Rattus norvegicus: one gene and its partners. The protein of the gene in region 4 interacts with the protein of the main gene of each other region in a pairwise test. Links are inferred from orthologs where the notes say so. Each region holds a gene or a part of one and is shown on either strand. Other genes may lie near its edges.

Evidence for each region.
Region 1: the proteins of Fhl5 (region 4) and Atosb interact in binary tests that used the Homo sapiens proteins (3 or more experiments, as listed by UniProt). The two-hybrid records come from large-scale screens. The link is inferred for Rattus norvegicus from reciprocal best matches to the Homo sapiens genes FHL5 and ATOSB.
Region 2: the proteins of Fhl5 (region 4) and Crem interact in a two-hybrid assay, tested with the Homo sapiens proteins (2 studies listed by BioGRID). The link is inferred for Rattus norvegicus from reciprocal best matches to the Homo sapiens genes FHL5 and CREM.
Region 3: the proteins of Fhl5 (region 4) and Banp interact in binary tests that used the Homo sapiens proteins (3 or more experiments, as listed by UniProt). The two-hybrid records come from large-scale screens. The link is inferred for Rattus norvegicus from reciprocal best matches to the Homo sapiens genes FHL5 and BANP.

The regions. Positions count from the first base shown.
Region 1 is NC_086023.1:62,061,581-62,066,771, forward strand, and holds the start of Atosb (atos homolog protein B), read right to left. Parts: upstream 3,034-5,191; 5' UTR 2,756-3,033; intron 2,743-2,755; exon of another isoform or gene 2,603-2,742; intron 307-2,602; exon of another isoform or gene 1-306. UniProt on the Homo sapiens protein: Transcription regulator that may syncronize transcriptional and translational programs.
Region 2 is NC_086035.1:58,967,806-58,972,287, reverse strand, and holds part of Crem (cAMP-responsive element modulator), read right to left. Parts: intron 2,226-4,482; coding exon 2,131-2,225; intron 1,991-2,130; coding exon 1,848-1,990; intron 1-1,847.
Region 3 is NC_086037.1:66,914,532-66,919,572, reverse strand, and holds the start of Banp (protein BANP), read right to left. Parts: upstream 3,113-5,041; 5' UTR 3,052-3,112; exon of another isoform or gene 3,031-3,051; intron 2,738-3,030; exon of another isoform or gene 2,600-2,737; intron 2,592-2,599; exon of another isoform or gene 2,332-2,591; intron 1-2,331. UniProt on the Homo sapiens protein: Controls V(D)J recombination during T-cell development by repressing T-cell receptor (TCR) beta enhancer function. Binds to scaffold/matrix attachment region beta (S/MARbeta), an ATC-rich DNA sequence located upstream of the TCR beta enhancer.
Region 4 is NC_086023.1:43,749,997-43,755,276, reverse strand, and holds the start of Fhl5 (four and a half LIM domains protein 5), read left to right. Parts: upstream 1-2,174; 5' UTR 2,175-2,290; intron 2,291-2,661; exon of another isoform or gene 2,662-2,858; intron 2,859-3,056; 5' UTR 3,057-3,121; intron 3,122-5,280. UniProt on the Homo sapiens protein: May be involved in the regulation of spermatogenesis. Stimulates CREM transcriptional activity in a phosphorylation-independent manner.

The DNA of each region.
Region 1 (5,191 bases), about 18 Mb from region 4:
AGAGCAGAGGTCATGCAGATAGGCACACCCCATCACACAACTACAAACCCCAAGTCAGCTCCAGGCCAGCCCTTCACACTTAAAATACTAACTTTCCCCAGAAATCTGTCTTTTTAACAGAGAAAAGAAATCCAAAGCGGGGCAGTGGTGGTGCTGGGATTGGTGGTGCTCACCTCTAATCCCAGGACTGGGAAGGTAGAGGCAGGCCGGTCTCTTTGAGTTCAAGGCCAGCCTGGTCTACAGAGAGAGTTTCAGGATGGCCAGGGCTATACAGAGAAACCCTGTTACCTTCACCCCCTAACCCCTCCACCCCCAAAAAAGAAAAACAAAAAAAAACAAAAAAAGAAATCTAGGGCTGGAGAGATGGCTCAGCGGTTAAGAGCACCCGACTGCTCTTCCAGAGGTCATGAGTTCAATTCCCAGCAACCACATGGTGGCTCACAACCATCTGTAAAGAGATCCGATGCCCTCTTCTGGTGTATCTGAAGACAGCTACAGTGTACTTATATATAATAAATAAATAAATCTTTAAAAAAAAAAAAAGAAATCTAACCAAAAACAAGGGATGGAAGGAGAGAACTGTCAGAAGGCACTTTATAGTTCCCACCCCTCCCCCCAGGCCCTGCAAACCAGAGATAAGGAAGCAGCAAGCAGTCAACTAGAAACAACTGGAGTATCTCCCCATGCCCCTCCCCCTCAGGCACAACCAGTACTCAAAAAAACCTAAAGCATTTCTTTGTTGCCATGGCACAAAAATGGTCTTCACAGACCATTAGCCAATATTTCAGTGACCAGACTGTCAAGTTGAAGGCCAACAGTCCCCACTGTCATCCTTATTTGGTCAGCAGTCTGTGAGGAATACCAACCATAATGCCCTTTATCATAATGCTAGAGGCTGAGGCAGGAGGATCTAAACCAGTCTAGCTACATTTTGAGAGGTCCTCTGTCAAAATCAAACAAAACAAAAATTACAAAAAGAAACAAATGAAAAACAGGTTACAGCCGGCCTTCACACTCCACCAGACAGTTAAGGTCAGACGGTTAGACGGGGCTACAAGACATCCTATCTCAGACAAAACACAAAACCAACAAAGAAGCTGAAGGGTGGTAGTACACGCTAGTTCACACACTCTGGAGGCACAGCCAGGCAAATCTCTGAGTTCAAAGCCAGCCCAGTGAAAAACCTGTCTCCAGAAAACAAAACAAAACAAAACAAAAACTAGAACCAAGCCCAACAAATATAACAAAATACCTTTTCCCACCCCTCTTTCACGGATATCTCAAAGTCATTCCCCTCCAAAAGATCTCTCATCTCAGACTTCCATAAGACAGTGCCACTAACTACTTTCTGTAACCCGGTAATACTTCCGTTTACTTCTGATTATGTCACACCTGAGGATGGGTCTGTGTTTCTTCCCCAGTCCCATTTCAAGCTCAGGAGAAACACACATCAGAATTCAAAAAAGCCTAAATACTAGCACTAGTGATTTGGTCAGCAGTCCTGACAGTGTAGAGAAACACTACGGGTGAAGAGTGGAGAGATTAATTGTACAGGGGGAAACTGCAGCAGCTCATGTGGTTGTAGGAGACGGAGAGAAAGGTGACATTTACACTTAGGGACTGAGAAACTCTCCCACATCAACTGTTGCCTTCCTTTCAGGCCATACTTTGCCATTTCGCCAGGTCCCCCTTTGAATGAGATCCTAAGAATATTCTGGTCCTTCCCGTGGGTGAGATGGCTAGAAAGTGGAGAACGTCAGTAGTGGCAGTGTCATGAGAGTATAACCTGTTCTCATTTCTTCCCTGCCTGTTCTCCACCCAGGCTTTAAAGTTCAAGAAGGGCGTTTTCTTGAGCACCCCAATTTCCAGGTCATCTCAGTTGCCCTCCTGAGCTCTTGCCTCAAGGAAGCCAGGTGATGACATGATGCCCTACTTGACCCCAGCATGCCTGGCATCTGCTCATTAATCCAGAGCCCTATTAGTTCCCTCCCTGTCCAGAGACGCTCTAAGACTCACTCCTCTGCCACCCAGCTTCAAGCTGACTCATGGGGAAGGACTGCAGGGAGAGGGGACAGGCCAGTATAAGCCAAACCTCGCCCTCTACACTGGGGATGGGCAGCAGCTGGCATTAAACAGCTGTGCCAGACTGTGGCTGCCAAGGACTACAGCTCCCAACATGCCGAGAGCAAGGTCAGCAAAAACAACAAGTCCCAGAATACCATGAGGTCTGTACCCTCAGATACTTGTTAGACTTGGGAGGTGGGAGAGGTTGTGGTACAGGAAGAACACCTAGGCTCATTCTATCCTTCCCTTCAGTTTCAAGACACCCATTTTTACCCTAACGAGGTGGGGGAAGAATTCCTATCCATGTGTTTTCCACTCTTATCCTAGGCAGAGTTCCGCTGCTCACTGCTGTACATTTTGTCCTCATACATGTCTATACACGCTAAGGTGACTGTTCCCAAGACCACTGCTGTGAGTAGAAAGGTCAATCTCTGCTTTTCACCTTCCCTCCCTCTGACTCCTGGCCTAGAGCCCTTCACCCTTAATAGAGAGGGAGCAGACCTCAGGGACCCCTCCAAACTCAGACACGGAGACTCACCTTGGCTCCTGGACTCCTTGTCCTGGACGATTTCCCCCCCACCCCCTGCTCAGCCTCCCAGGTCGGTTCTCATCCCTTCTTCACAGGCTGGGACAGGCCCCATACCGTGCAGAGGTTTTGGAGATCTGATCCTTCCACCTAGTACACACTCACCCCACTCCCAAATTGGCTCCGCCGCGGTGGCCGCTGCTCCGGGCCCTTCCGTCCCGTCCCCGTTCCGATCCCTGTCCCTCCCCTCGGATAACCAGTCCCCCCTACTACGGGCCCCCAACCCAGACAAAGGGTGGCTTAGGCTGAGAGCCTTGCTCTGCTTGGCTCTTCTCTGATCAGCTTCGTGTGCAACACTAGCGGGCTCTGGCGTACGCAGCCCCTCTAGCTGCTGTTGCACCCCTCCCTGCGACGGTCCCTCCCCGGGGCCGCCCCGGCTCCTCGCCGCAGACTCAGCTGCCCCTCTGACTCACAGGCCATTTCCTACCAGCTGATGGGGCCGCCCGCCCCGCCCAGCGCCCAGCCACCCCCAGCACTGCGACCACGGCTGCCACGCCCCCCTCAGACCACACCCTCCAAGGGCAACAACTATGTTCATTGGTCCAGTGGAGGCCAGCCTCTCAGCAACCTCAAGCGTGAGTCACGCCCTCTCCAAGGGGCGCACGCCTATTGGTCCACATAAGGGCAGGCCTACCCAATGTCGCCCCGCCCACCTCCTTAACCCTTTTTTCTGTCCAAGTCCTAAGCAATTCTCTGCCCTGTCATTTAACCTCATTCAGACTTCATCCTCTCAGCGCTCAACAAATCTTTCTCCTCCACACTTCCTGTTCTTAAGTAAATTAATAGGAAGCTCCAGGGCTTTCACAGATACAGTTCAACAATCTCCAACTCATACCAAACACAACCACACATAACCCCAAGCCCATTCATCCCCCCACCCCATCCCGAAATAGAGCTCCAAGAGCGTTGTTGCTATCTAGTAAGCTTTCTACAAAAGCAGGCAAAAAAAGACCTAAAGTCGTACCGTATCTCCATCCATACTGAAAGATGGCATTCGCACCCCCCTCCCTTTTGCCTTTGTTTGGAGACCCCAGGAGGCTCCTGAGATAAAAATACATTTAAATTTCAGGGATTCAGGCCTCATCCGTTGGGCTCAAAACTCTTCACGGATCAGGCTTTGGAGCACTCTTTGCTAACAGACCTCTGCTCCAAGGAAGCAGAGTATCCTCAGCAGTGAGTTAAAAGGCCTTCTGCCCAGAGTCAGTCTGGAGACCAAGTTAGTCTTCATGACTCACAGCTCCCTCGAAACTCACCAAGCTCCCCTTGAGTCACTGGGCCCCAGGCCCAGCCCAGAGCCAGCCAAATTAAGCAGTAGCAGAATAAGCATCCCTAACCTTTGTCCTTAGCTCTGTAAATAATCGGGGTGGAATTTTTGCAAGGCCTGGACATTCATAGACACTTTTTAGAGGGACTGCTCTGGAGATAACCTGAGAAGATGGGTAGCCTTGTCTACCTTGTCCTCTGAACTTATCAGTGGGTCAGACAGGTTGTCACCAACTCAGGCCTTTTCTCAGTCACAGAAATGGAACAAACAGCAGAACCAAAAGAAGTAAAGGCCTGTGCTTTGCCTATGCGATGAGCCCCAAGGACCATTCGTTTATTGCTGCACTGTAAAAAGAGCCCTCCCCTCCCCCTCCCTACTTCCTCTCTGGGTTCTACAAGTAATACAAGCAAACAACAGTCCTCTAGGATTCTTTCTCCTTACCTCTAATGAGTAGGAAACTCTTAAAAAAAATAAAACAAACCAGCTCCCTAAGATTGAATTCCCTGTATGAAGGAGCAGGATTTTAAAGTCTCAAAGCCCTAAACACAAGTGAAGAATCAATATGAGAATGTATTTGCCTCAGCAAAGCTCACTAGGAAGACAGAAAGACAGAATATCTTAGGAATAATTCTCAGCAGCCCTCCTTTGTTCTGTCTAACTATAATTTCAGGCTTTAGTTTTCTACAAAGATCAGAGTGGGAACACTAAAGGAGTCAGGATAAAAAATGTTCCAGGCCTCAGTATGCCCTAGGGAAAGGAGCATAGTTCAGTCATGCATGAGGTCATACCTAGTTGCTCTAAATCTTAGCTTGCATTTTTTTTTCTTTTTTAGAGTCAAGGCCTTGCTATATAACCTAGGCTGACCTTGAACTCATGATCCTCCTGCCTTGCCTCCAGAGTGTTGGGATTACAGGTCACTGTGGGGGTTTGTTGTTTCTGCTTTGTTTCTTTGAGACAGAGTTTCTAGTAGCTCAGACTGAGTAACTCCAGCTATCTCTTGCCTCTGCCTCTACAGTGCTGAGAATACTGGTGTGTGCTACTGGACACAGCCTGACTTAAAATTTTTTTTTTTTTTTAAAGACAAGGTCTCGTGTAATTTAGGCCTGGAACACACTGTATGTCAGAGGATGATCCTTTACTCTTGATCTTTCTGTTCTCACCTTCCAAATGCTGAATTATGTTTAAAAAATTTTTTTAGAGCTGGGCGTGGTGGAGGACACATGTCTTTAATCCTAGAGGCAGGCAGACCTGAGTTCGAAGGTAGCCTGGTCTACGAA
Region 2 (4,482 bases), on a different chromosome or scaffold from region 4:
TAGAAAGTCAAGTGTAGACACTGGGAGCTCTGCAGCTGCGGCACAGAAGCTCACTGAAAGGAGAGGCTGAATGAGCATGAACAAGATCGTCTCAACTAATGCAAACTCCTTTGTCTCCTCCCAGTGTTTGCACATCTTTTTCTCCCCACTTTGACCTATGCTTTTCTTTTGTCTTCACATATACCCCACAGTTTGGCCCCTGAAATTATTCCCACTTCAAGACTAAAGCCTGAGATGCCTCTTGATCTGATCACTGAGTGAGCAGAAGCAAACACCAAAGCCCTTCACCACATTCCCTCCAGCTTCAACATTCTCCTAGCTTTCATTTCACTATGTCACATTTAGTGGTAATAATCTAGGCAAATTAACCCACAGCATCAACTTCCCTTGTTCCCTGTTAATAGATCATTGCCGCCATGAAAAGTCCTATGTAGTCTCAGGCCATGCCAGAGAAATGCCAAGATAACATCCTCTTAGCCTCTCTCCAAAACTTTGTATTAACATTCTTTCAGCAGTATTTTCCAAACTTTCCCCTGTCAAAGCACAAACAGAAAACAATAGCATGAACAGCCCACTGCGCACTGGGTAAATGGGCAAAGTTGCTCAAGGCTGAGGATCAGTAGAGAGGCTCTAGCCTCCTAGACCTGCTCAGCCTATCTAGGGACGCAGAGCTGAGGAGCTGTCTGCACTCCAGGAACCTAGACTGTACTACAGAGGCACAAAAGCTAGCAAGCCCTGGTTTACAGACCTAAAACATTCACCACATAGTCCCAATAGTACAAAGAAACCAAGACAGAAACAAAAGGTTGTGGGAATTTTCTTCACACTCATTTTGAACATGTGCATTCAGCATCCAGCAGAGTATTGACAAGTTATACCCATCTTTGACAGGTCATGACAATAGCTACCCAAAATTACCAACAGGACTTAATTTACTATTACAAATATCTATCACCACAGGAGAAATTCTAAGAAACAAACAACAACAACAACTCCTACATAAGATCTTCCATACAGAAAAGGAGATAACATGTTTAATAGCCAAGTCTTGAGACTTTGCAGGTAAGACTACATTATAGTCTTTGCACTTTATTTAGACACAGTATATAACATTACATACATCCCCAAAGACCCAAGAAGTTGTTTCCTCTGGTTTCCTTTCTTCCTTTCTACTTTGCTTTCTAGGTCGCATTATTCTTGTCTGTCAAATGTGCTTGACTTGGGAAAATCATTAGTGCTTTAGTAAGAATTTCAAAAAGCACAGAAGTAACAATACATTAAAATGCACAAGTCTAAATGCCAATGTATCTGTTTATTAGAGCTTCCAGTGTGTAAAGTTCAAATAAAATGATCTATCCAATTGCTACAGTTTGAAAGTTAAATAATTTTTTGTTCTTTTAGAAAAACTGCAGCACAAATTAACAAAGTAATGAAATGAAATTACATTTAAAGCACAACTTAGAAAACATATTTACCTCTTATTATATGATTAAGTATAATAAGTCGCTGGCAACAAATGCCATCGACAATGAAATACAGACATTTATAGCAGAAAGACAACAAAAACAAGAACTTTTCAAATTGTTACTTGAGAGGAATATAAACATGTAAATAGGAACCCTTTCTTTAATTTTTAACCACTTATCATGCACACTCAGCAATAAAGACTTTTCAGCTGTCAGTACAAATATCTTACTGCTTTAACATGCACTTTTTATTCTGTGACACACAGTTGTTAATGATTCACAGTTGTTAATGAAACATTTGGATGCCCACACCCACACCGCTTCACTGTAATAGGAAGACTTAAAGCTAGCACTGTGTCTATGGAATTGTAGCATACATACTGTATTGCCCCGTGCTAGTCTGATATATGCTAGTTGGTACTGCCATGGTAGCAATGTTAGGTGGTGTCCCTTCTTCCTCTGATTTTTCTTCTTCAATCTTGGGAATACCAGGCACATCAGAGGAAAGTTCATTCAGTATTTTTCTAAAATATAATATAAAAATATAAGCAATTAGGATATAGAAAGAGACAACAAAAAGCTATAAAGAATAATTGCTTGGCTTTATAATTATTGTGGGGTTTTTTGGGTGGAAATACTCCAGTTGGAAAGTTAGTTAACTCACCTATATGAGGGTCTTCGTGAAAGAATTTCTCTACGTTTATGCGAATCGATTACTTCTGAGTCTGCAGAATCATCTGTCTCTGCAATTGTTGCTACCTATAATACAAGACTTTCTGAAATGCATCATAACATGTATGGTCTTCATTTCACTCAAAAATGGTGATTAAGAGTCTGTGCATAGAACTCAGCTTAGTGTTTGTATGGAGAGGAAAACAAGGAATAGAATGGATAATAAACTACAAAAATTCAATAGAAGAGTACTTGGAATACCAAGTAAGGCTTCACAGGAAAGGGAAATGCATAAAACACTTAAGACCCAAAACCCCAAACCTGAATGTGTTCTTGTAAGTACAGATATCAGTAAGGCCATAACAGATGCAGAAAAACTACTCAATTTAGTGCTCTCTCTCTACATTATCATTGGCCTAAACTGGGTATAAAAGTTACGGCATCATATACAGCCACCAAACCCAGGCAATATTGCTGATGCCAAGAAGTGCAAGCTGACAGGAGCCTGATATAGCTGTCTGCTGAGAGGCTCTGCCAGAGCATGATAGATACAGAAGCAGATGCTCACAGCCAACCACTGAACTGAGAACAGGTTCCTGAATGGAGGACTTAGAGAAAGGATTAAAGGAGCTGAAGAGGTCTGAAGGGGTTTGAAGGGGTTTGCAACCCCGTAAGAATAACAATACCAACCAACCAGAGTTCCCAGGGACTAAACCACCATCCAAAGAGTATACATGGACAGACTCATGGCTCCAGCTGCATGCATATGTAGCAGAGGATAGCCTTGTTGGGCATCAATGGAAGGAGAAGCCCTTGGTCCTGCCAAGGCTCAATGCCCCAGGGTAGGGGAAGGTGGGGAAGCAGGAAGGGGTGGGTGGCAGAACACCCTCATAGAAGCAGGGAAAGGAGAGATGGGATAGGGGATTTATGGATGGGAAACTGGGAAAGGGGATAACATTTGAAATGTAAATTTTTTAAAAAAGTTAGTGCATTAGATAGGTCCGAAGAAGAATGCTTATATAAACAAATCAGTAAAACCAGGGTTGTTAAGAGAAGAATTTATATTATAAGGCTTATATTAGAGTTTAAAGATTCTGAAGTCAAAACAAATTTATATTTAAAAAACCAGTAAGATGGCTCAGTGAATAAAAGCACTTGCCACTATGCCTGACAACCTGAGTTCAGTCCCAAGACCCACATAACACACAGAGAACAAATTCCCACTAGTTGTCCTCTAACCTACAAGTAGACATTATGGAATGCACCCAAAGACACATCCACATAGAAGATAGACTGGTGAGTGAGTGAGTGGATGGGTGAGTGGGTGGGTGAGTGGATGGATGGATGGATGGATGGATGGATGGATGGATGGATGGATGGATAAGAGTGGTAAAAATAAAAGTATCAGAATTTACAGCATGATTTCACTTTTAAAACCAGGAACAATGCAATGATATGACAACTAAAGAAAATGAGAAAACTAAAATGACAAATCTCTAAACATGTCTTCTGTCAATATATTTAGTCATTAGCTCTAAGGTTTAGGGGAAGTAGGTTCACAAAACTTCATGTTACATGAGACTTTGACATGGGGGAAAAAAACTAAGAAGATCAAGCATGAAAACGACATGTAGCTCCTTCATGCTACGTGGTGAGTCCAGGTAGGAACAGCACGGTGGTGGGGAGGTGGCCCAGTTGAGAGAGTATTTTCATCATGTACAACGCCGTATATTTGATCCCCAATATCACATAAAACCCGGTATAGTGGTGAAATCCTCTAACCCCAACATTTGAAGGCAGAAACAGAAGCACATAAAATTCAAGGACATTCTTAAATATACTATGAGCTTGAAGCCAGCTTGAGCTTCAAAAAATCTTCTCTAGAAAATTGCCAAGAAAGAAGAGGAGAAAAAAGGAAGATTGGTATATTTTCCTCTTGAAAATTCTAAAAGTTTGTGTAGAATTAGCATATTTAAAGTGTTTCCAGCATGAAAAGATGATATAAAATACATATTTTAATTAGCCAATTTAGTCATACCACAAGGTATACACACTTGAAAACAAAATGTTGTTCAAAATAAATGGATAAAAATTGTTTACCAATTAAAATACATACTAAAAGTTCATTTCTGATTTTAATAAAAGGAATTATCTAATCTTGAATGCATATAGATAGGCATGTGTGTACATATATACACACACATATGCAAAATATATTCATCTACAAATATAACATTTCTGGTCATGGATACTCTACACAAACACTCACACACTGAATAGAACCTACTAGGACCTTACACAGTCATACACCATGTATCTTACATTGGCAATATACTTCACACAG
Region 3 (5,041 bases), on a different chromosome or scaffold from region 4:
GCATAGCTCATTCTGAGAAAACAGGCTAAGCTGCATGGGGCAGCAGTAGTAAAACCACTGTTGCAAATTCACTATTTCCCTCGGATGCCCTGACCACATGGAGATTCTGAGCCCCTTACCTGAAGAGACACAGGGCAGGGTTCCAGTTAACACCCCCCCCCCCCAGGTGCATCTAACCTTCCCACAAACACACTGCATTTCTAGCAGAAAACTGATGTCTTAGTTTATCTCTTGGGGTATTTGATATCAGTGTCTCTGTTGAGCACACTGGCCTCAATCATCAGTCAGACGCTAGAGTATCTGCAGGGCTTTTTCCAGAGAGAGCACTTTTTCCTGCCAAGACTTATAAACACTGAATGCTTTGGGATAATGGAAAGAGCAGACTGGAGAAGACATGACAACTACAGTGAGGAGTCGGGAATTAGATCCTGAAACAAAGCAAACAAAAGATGTCAGTGGGTGTAAGGTCTGTAATCTGGGTAGCCCTGCTGTTAGATATGATGAAGGGGAAGAGGAAGGCAGCTGTAGTCTCTCTGAAATCCTTAATCACAGGTGGGCTAAGTGCTCACCAGTGTGTGGGTTGCTGTGGACTCTGCTGCAAGGCCCTGGCGGATGCAGCCTACTTCACTAAGCAAAACTTGCAAGTGTACCAGCCCAATGCTTGGCCTTGCTATCCCTGTGCTATGGGTACAGCACACACTGCACTGCTCACCTCTGATCAGTGAACCATGATATGCTAGCTGCTTGCACTAACCCAACTAGACAGTGAAGCAGCTAAACTGAAGGGCCTAATCTCAGTGTCTGACCAGTCTCCTGCATCCTGGTGCCCTACCAAGATAGCAGAGCGGAAGAACCATCCATTCAACTGGAGGCAACCACAGAGACCATGATCTGGCACACATCCATTACAAAACCCAAAAATGTAAGGAGAGAAATTATCTGAAGACAACAGGCTCTAAAATTAAATTCCTGTTCCAGGTAAGTGGCCTTGAAAACAATCTCCGCTTACCCCATCAAAATACTTCCGAGAGTACAATAAACTCACAAGAAAACAGTACACAGCAAGCCTTCAGTTCCTGACAGAGGAGCTCATCTAGACAGCTTGGGGAACACAGGAGTGGGGCTCCCGGCCTCATCAGGGGCAGTCTCCACAGCCACCTCAGAGCCAAGCACAGCAGCTTCCGAGCAAAGGGAGACCCTTGAAGACAGATAAACAGCCCAGATAGAAGGTGTCTGCTATGTGCTCCTCCAAGTCTCTAGGTAAGAAGCTCTGGCAGATACTAGTGGGAAAAAACCATTTTAAAAACCTTCTCCACAGACCCTGGGTCCCCTGCCAGTTTCCTCTTACCTTAAGGTCTAAGTTTAAGCAATTATAATTAGCACTAGTGGAGGCCCTGCCATCCAAAGCAAGAAGCTAACACTTACCATCCACTCCTCAAAAGTGATACTAAATAAGAAATCAGAGAACTGAAAAGAACCCCTAATAGTTTCCTCAGCCCAAAGGAGAAAACGTATTGATGAAACAAACTACTGAATAAAAGGAAAAAAACAAATACATTCAGGAAAAAAAAATTTTTTTTTTTTTTGTTGTTTCGCTTTTCTCTGTGTAGCTCTGGCTGTGAACTCAGTCTGTAGACCAGGCTGGTCTCAGACTTAAGAGATCAGCCTGCATTTGCCTCCCAAGTGCTGGGACTAAAAGTGTGTGCCATTGCGCTCTGCTCAGAAACTTCAATTTTGTCTTTTTTTTTTTTTTTTCTCGGAGCTGGGGACCGAACCCTAGCAAGCACTCTACCACTGAGCTAAATCCCCAACCCCAGAAACTTCAATTTTGATTATGGATACACCACTCCCCCTCCCCCACCATTGGGTCTCACTATGTAAACGAGGTTGGCCTCAAACTTGCAAAGATCCACCTGCCTCTGTCTCCTAAGTGCTGGCATTAAAGTCCTGGGCCAATGCACAGAACAAAACTTAAAATATTAGGGCTTAAAGATAAACTGAAGCTCTTTCCTGGAATAGAAAGATGAAGAAACTCAAGTAGTGTACCCAAATGTGTGTCGCACATGGCAGGAATCCCTGAAAAAAGAAAATCGGGGTGGGGGGACAAATTCTCTTGGGAAAATCTCCCAGAGCTCAAGGACACACCTACTGAGCATACCTGTGAACTGTAAAACTGTTCCAATGCCAAGGAGACCTTAAAACCTTCCAGGGAGGAAACAGTTACCAGAAAGGAAGTACTTGGCAGAAGCTCCCTAAGGACTGAGAAGAAAGCAGACTGAAACACTGTGTCCTGAACTAACCAGGCGTGCAAAGAAAGACAGCTGGACCTACCTGGACGGGCCTAAAAGTCACTACCCCAGATTAGAAAAAGGCAGAGAGGAGGTGGAGTGAAGTCGAAGATTTAACACTATCTTCGAGAAGTTACATTGTCACCAGGAGCAGAGAAACAAAGGCCACTACAAACAACAAGGGATAAAAGCAAGGCTGTGCGGGACGGGGACATGACGCTAGGTGGGGAAGCGAGCACCAGTTATCAGCCCCGATGTAAACAGAGAGCAGAGCAGAGGCGGATGCGCCAGCCAGGGCGAAGCCACCCTACCGGGGCAGAGCGCCAAGAACTGCCGGGAGATGGGGCCACCTAGGCGGCAGGGCGGCGCGCAGGACCCGGGAGCACCGCGCGAGGCCCTGCACTGACAGACTGGGCGGCCGTGACAGGGGCGCCGGGCGCGGGCCCGGGAGGCGCCGAGGCTCCGGAGCCGAACGCGAGCGCGGCCGTCGGGCCTCGCCCGCTCGTTCGCTCCCCGGACCCCACACGCCCAGCCGGGAGCCCGCAGCCCCGGCGGGCGGAGGCGGCGCGCGGACATTCCGCGGCCCGCTGGCCCCCGCCCAGCCCGGCGTGCGGCCCGCGGCCGTTGGCAACGGTTGGCGGCGGGGCGGGGCGGGGGCGGACGGAGATCTCGCTCTCGCTCTCGCTCTCGCCCCGCGGGAAGGGGGAGTGGAGGCGCGACCGGCTGCGGGAGCTGCAATTACCGTGTGGGCTGCGGAATTCTCGTGGTGTTTGTCGGGGAGATGCGATAATGGCGTCCGTCCTCGCGAGAGAAGCAGCAGCTCTGCGCAGGCGCTGCGAGCACCTCCCCACAGCCTGCGCCGCGCCCTCAGCGCAGGCTCCCTGAGCTCGGGGCTCCAGGGAGGGGCCAGTCGGGCAGGGGGCGGAGCCTGCGCTGGGCGCCTCTTGCGCGCGCTTTCGCCGACGGACTCCAGTGAACATGCGCAGTTGTCCTCCCGTGTACCAAGAGTTGACTCAATAGGCCCTTACTTCCCCATCTCATGTCTGTGTTACTTGCTAAAGCAGTAAATACTCCAGTGGGCAATCTGAGGAATGTACGTCCTCTTTGACGGGTGTGAACGGACACTAACGCTGCCCTGATGACTACAAATCCCAGAGTACGCTGTGTAGGACACGATGCATTCTGGGACTGGTAGTCTCAGCGACTGTGACTTGCCTGCTGGGATTTGTAGTCCATCCTGATTCTGGTAGCCACATGCCTTCCCTGCCCTGAGGACTGCTGGGACTTGTAGTGACAGCAGCTCAAATGGGCTGTACGCTCCCAAACTGGTCCTACCTACTAGGCCTGGATCAATCTCGGACGTTCCGGACTCATTCAGTGGCATCGTCTCGCAAGTTGCCTGACTTCCTTAAGGATAAGCAGGTCTCGGGGACACTGTCACTGTAATAGAGATTATATGTGACATGCTTACATTATCATGCAATAAGAGCTATGAAGCATCGATGTGCATTTGTTCCCAGAAATGCCACTAATGGCGGTCTCTGAACCTAGTCTGTTGTCCATATTCCTTTCCAGGCTGGCTCCTTCTGCATGTTCGTAGTGAGCATTCCCACAAACCAGGATCCAGGAGCTATTTTAACTTAAAAAGAAAATACTTTAAGTTTCCTGTCCCCTCCCCGTGCCGATAATAAAGCCATGACTCAGTGCAGCTACCAGCTGGGCGACCTAGGGACAGCCCTTCTAAACCATTGTGCTCTGTCAAGGGATTACTTTTCCTCAGGAGTGTCTTGAAGATTTCAACCTAGAACTGTGCTGTTAAAATGAGACCTATCATTTACAGAGATGAGGATGAAGTCCGAAGAGACAGAAATTGCTGGGAGAGGCAGCAGCTGGAGCCAGAAGGGCGGGCTTTGGGCATCTGTGTGAAGTCTTAGAATTTTAATGTTGAATGCAAGTGGGGACCGGAGGGGGGTGGGGAGATGCGGAGAGAGAAAAAAAAATCCGTTGAAAGGTCAATTTTTCTTCTGGGAACAGGTTCCATCACCATGGATAGAGCCTCTGAGTAGTGAATCTCTCTCTTGCATATCTTCCTTGTGACCTCTGACCTGGGACTCTAGGATGCAGACTCCTCAATGGGCCCATACCACACAGGGCAGATACATCACACGGACCCTCTCACAGTCCCGTGTGACCTCCTTGTACAACCTGTTTGCTAAAACTACCTCAGGAAATTTTTTTGCGGGGTTGGGGATTTAGCTCAGTGGTAGAGCGGTAGAGCGCTTGCCTAGCAAGCGCAAGGCCCTGGGTTCAGTCCCCAGCTCCGAAAAAAAAGAAAAAAAAAAAAAAAGGAAAATTTTTTGCACTCAATCTTAGCCAAAAGGTAAAGGAGTCACAGAAAATCTGCATGGATCATACCCTGGATTTCAATTGGATTTCACTAAAGTCCTTAGCCTGCAGGGTCCTTTCCTTTTTTCGGCACCCAGTGACCTCCAGATACAGAGCACCCCTAGGACCTATGCAAAACTCTGTTATCACCTTGTGTCCTAATTATCTTGCAAAGCGGTCTCCAACATAAAGATCTGAAATTCCTACTGACCCAGATCCGTTGCTCTAAGTAAAGGTAGGTAGTATTAGAAAAGCTACAGAAACTAAGTCCAGAGGAACTAAGAGGAATTTGAGCAGAGACTCTTAGAGAGATGCACTTTCTCCTGCCGCCACACTTCAGTTAGGCTCAGATTTTAAAAATCTGTGGT
Region 4 (5,280 bases):
AAGTCTTGGCTTCCTGACATGCCCTCTGCTTGCCCTCTCTGATATCCTGCTCGTCCCTGTCCAGTCGTAAGGCACAGCTTCCCACTCTGCCACAAACCCCCGCATTTAAGAAAACAATCTCGACTGTCTGAAAGCTCCAGGCCAAGTAAATACGTTCATCTGTTGCAGTGCTTTTTCTGAGACTGTTCCATAGGCTCAGCTGTTTCAATACATGGCTCCCATTAGCAGTCCTCCTTGGGTAGGTTTGGGGTGTGTATCCAAAGGTCAATGAGGGCAGAATTTGAAGTTTCAAGAGCTGCATGCTACTTCTTTTGCTCTATTTCTGGCTTGGGGCCTAGACGTGAGGTCTCAGCTTACTGCTTCAGCCACCATGCCTGCCTGCCACCATACTTGCCTGCTATGATGGGAATGTACTCTTACACCTCGAATTTTAAGTTCTTCCCTCTATAGGTTGCCTTGGACATGGTCTTTTTTTTTACAGCAATGGAAAACTAATACATAAGCTTTTTCTTTAATTTGCCTTTATATCTGTGAACCTAGCAATGGGAACTCTTCTGTATAGCTTACAGTTGATCTTTTCTTATTTAAGTATAGTGTGTACCTCTGAAGCTGTGTTTATTTATACAAATACCTAAATATTTCCCCTATACATAATCCACACAAAATTCTAGAGAAATGTAAATACTGAGGTTATGCCTGTTCCTAAGCATGCAAGAAATTTTAAATTCTGTTTCTTCCAGAATGTAGGCAACATGTATTTTTCATAAATCAATAACACATTTTAAAGCAAATGTTACTTTTTATTAATATAAAGAAAGGGTAGAAGGAACCACACTAGGGCAGAGGCAAGTGCTTATGGTTGATAAAGCAATTTATATAGTTAGGTTGAGACTAAAATGAAAGGATAATGATATGTTCTAAGAAATGTCATTTACTAAATGACATCTGACAGAAGGGCTAGAAATAGAGGCGGGTGGAGTATAGGCGAGGGAACCTAAGATGATGGGTGGATGGCAGTGCCATGTACTAAGAGACTAGGGCTAAGAAGATAAAAGGTTTCATTCAGGACTTCGGTGGCTACAAACCCCAAAGATTCCAGCAAATCACAAGGTGCCTATTAGAGTCATGTCAGATAACACTAAAGATCTGCTGGTCATAACATGTAAAGAGTCTCATAAGGAACACTGGAATTCACAGAAAAACACGGAACCAAGAATAAACCGCCAGGAAAAAAAAGAGGAAACCGGAAGTCTAACTTAGGTGAGAGGAAACCGAAGTCTAACTTAGGGAAAGTAAGGAAGCAGGTTTCAAGAACAGGCCTAGCCAGAACTTCCTGTAGAATCTGACAGTGCTCTCAGAGATTCTACTCAACGTATTGCATGACCCTAAAGATTTTCTTCTTCCTTCTGCTGGAGCAGTTCAAGTAAAAAATAAATTGAGGGGATCAGTGAGGTTGAATCAGACTGAAAACTATCCTTTTGAAAAGTGCATGGGTAAATCCAGAAGTCAGTTGCCTCATAACTTGATGGGGAGAGGCACTGTGACATCACCAAGATGGATTCCTTTCTTATAAGTGGAAGAAAATGCCAGTTTAGCAGTACTCGATTCTATCACCAGTGAAAGGCAGATACACATTTGCTGATCAGATTTTGTTCTTGCTAATCCTAATGTTTTGTCTTCATGTGACAAATCCATGTGAATAAAAAAAGCAGTTAATTGGCCCCATATTTCCTGTCCCCAGTCCCCAGTCCTTTGGTTATATTTAGCTGAGTCTGATTTCGAGAAATATTTACATGTGCCTTTATGGCTTAAAGCAACAAACATGTAAGTGTGGTTGGGAAACAATATGGGGATGTGACAGACAGAGCATTTCTTCTTTTCTCCAACCTTCTAAACTGAAAGAATGGTCTCGAATGGAAATTCTAAGAACAGTTCCCATTTGTCATATAGGTCAGCGTGACCCACTGAGAATTCTTGGGATGGATTAGTTCAAAAAACAAACCTCTCTCCTGACATTATCTGACTTCTCTGGACACTTCATATTTTGAGGATCTCAAGAAACCAGCTGAGCTCACATGAAGTCACACAGTGTGGATCATGACATAACAATCAGAAGGTCCGCCAGGGCGCCCAGGCAGAGGTCCAACCACACTGACAGTTCAGAAAGCAGGTAACTATCCTGAGTTATTTTATTCAAATCCAACACTCAAGAGTTCTCACATTTCCCAATAAAGAACTGATCGCGGCAAGAAAGAACATCTCATCTGCTGCTCTACAAAGAACTCCAAAGGTAAGAGTTCTCCTCATCCCTCCCGAACAGCTCAACAGACTAGATCTGCACTTCAGTTGTTTCCCACCAAAAGGAGGAGTTTCATAGCTACCAGAAAACAAAACCAAAAATGGATCGATTAAGGAAATACAAAATACATATTTTCGGAGAACACTTTGTTTACAATCATGACCTTAATTGAACTTAGTCAGTGGAAATTCTCAAGGGTGTGTGTGTCTGCATAAATGTTCTATATTTTAAACTTTGTGGCTTTGCCAGATACTTCAGATGCTAACACTAGTCAAATTTCCCTTTAAGGATATTCTGAAGGGAACTTTTTCCTTGTGATTTTAAGTAGAATGGACCACGGGTGGTTTTTGGCTTAGGAGGAGTCTTGGGTACGTGTCACAGAGTTGTAGGAGAGAATTTATTTTTTCCTACAAAATTGAAAGGCTGCAAGGAGCAGCCCTCAAGTAATGCTGACAAGAACTCTGTTCATTCTGGAGTCGACCTGTCTGTGATTGAGAAGGGAACCCACCATCTGTTCTCCTAGACTGTAAAGTAAAAGGAAAAAGCAGCTGAAGAAAGAGTGAGTTTTCTCCCCGCTGCTTCCTTTATGTTTGGTTATATGGCATTTTTTTTTGGCTTTTAAAATTTAAGAATGAGAGTTTTACAAACTTTCCAGAAAATTCGTAATATAAACTTTTGCTTGGAGGATGTGTGCAAACCGTGAACTCTTAGCAATAAGAGCCGATTGGTACTTCTTTCTTCTTTCTGGGTTTTACAGATTTCTCATTTTGATGAAACTCATGGATGCAGCACAGTGGCAGATAACTGGAATTGCCTCTCTGGGTTTGTGATCTTCCTTAATACATGGACATGCTTATTTTCATAAGAGGGGGGAAGGGGAAATAGTCCAAGTCTTTATTCTGTATAATTTATTTGAGTGAATAACGTTATTGTGGGGATGTTTCATGACTGAATTTCTTATACAGAACATGTTAAAGTGTTTAAGTACAGAACCCCATGTTAAAGCCTTTGTGTAAATAAGGTAACCAGAAGCCTGTTTTCTAGAAGAATCTTAATTCTCTCCAAAAGTGGGCATTGAGCAATTTCCTAATCTGTTCCAAAGGACAGAAGTAAAATGACTCCGTGTCCCACCCACATAAGTAAGTATATGAAGCCCTGCATCTGAAGTGCTATTTTTTGACATTAAGATTCCATTATTTAGGCAAAATGTGCTCGTCTCTCTCCATTTTCAGTCATACTTCTTTGGTACCTGCCATCCATTAGAAGGCAAACTCAGCATGCTGACTGTTTTGGAGTATAGAAATGTGGGAGCTTAAAACATCAATAAAATGTGTAATTCTTGCACCTATAATGAAAGAAAAAGCATTGAGTGGCTTTGGCCACTATTTCAGATTTACAACACTGTCATGTGTAAATCCTTGCAAACTTAACACAAATCGCAGACAAGATATTTCTAAGGATGTATGTTAAGATAAATGCCTGAAATCACAAGCCAAATCGCTTGATGGAGAAGGTATACTCACGTCTGCTTTCTGGTTCTATAGATGTCTCATGCTGACATTAGCTGAATGCCAGTTCTGTCTAATGAAATGGTACCTCATTGATAAAATTTCCTCTCATTCCTGACATGGTTGCTCACAGCAGTATTTTGAGTAAAGACTTAATTTGGATTAGGCAAACCTAAAGTATTTTCTACTTATTATACTGAAAGTATGTGTTTTTATAGAACATTTTAGGAAAGCGTTGATTATTTTGATGGTTTTCAATACAGGCAGCATGGAATCAGCTATCAGTTAAACTAAGCTTGCATTTCATTGCTCTTATAAATATCATATGCCTGTCTGCTACTTGGGTAACCACTGGAAGGACCTTTACAGAGGATAGGGAGTGAATGAGGAATGTTTCCCTCAAAGTACCTCGAATCCTCTTAAAATTATCAGCTCAGAAGTGTACGCACTACCCAATCAGATCACAGTGAGCTTATTTGTGACTTACGGACTCTTCTCAGAATAACAATAATGAATTGGATGCTGTGGGGGCATCCAGGGCAAAGCTGCTAGAGATCCTGACTGGGACAACATAAGACCCCTTCCAAATAATATGCCCTGGTAACTTACGTTATTTCCATCAGTTGCCTCTTTGGCCCCAGCTGTACATCTCCCTTTGTTTGTCTGATGCATTCTCAAACCTCATACAAGCCAACTAATTTCTTCCCTTTGCTTCAAATAGCATGTTTCTCAGGTATACTCCTTTAAAAAGATATCATGATCCACCTCGTGACTCAGTCCAGACACAGGATAGAATCCTTTTTGCTTCTCTTACTCTCATCTTTTTTCACTTGTTAACATTAGCCCTTCAACAAACCCCTCTGCCTCTAGCAGAATGAATAACTCCCCCCACCTTACCCCCAACTCCGTCAACTTCTTGTTGAGTCCTCATGAGCCCAATCCCCACTCATGACAGTTTTGCATTCAAAGTAGGTTCTGGGGATGCTAACATTATTAGTCTACAGGCCTCACTGAAGGGCAAGGATAACTCTTGGACTGGATGGCTGGTGCTCAAAGAGCACCTCTGGTGGTCCTCAGCGCTAGACGTTAAAAAGAGATGAACATCTTAACCAGGTTTTTCTGCAGTGCTGCACTGGCATAATCTAGTTGATGAGTAGATGAGTTGTTAATACATGAATGAACAGACTATAGGTAGATATAAAGTCCTGTGTCTATAAAAAGAAAGATTTAATACTCTTGTCAGAAGTGTTAGCACTCTTAAAAAATGTTAGCAATCCTATACTGACATGCAATTCAGTTGATGCTACTATGGGCAGAGGGTTAAATTCCTGCCAGTATAGAACTAATAATGCTTCTAATATGTGCATGTTCTCTACACATAAAGGTTAACATTTCTTTAGCAGCTATGTGATGTAACTGTCACTTGGGAAAATGTAAATGCAGTTGACACTAGGGTGCTATGCAGTCTAAATT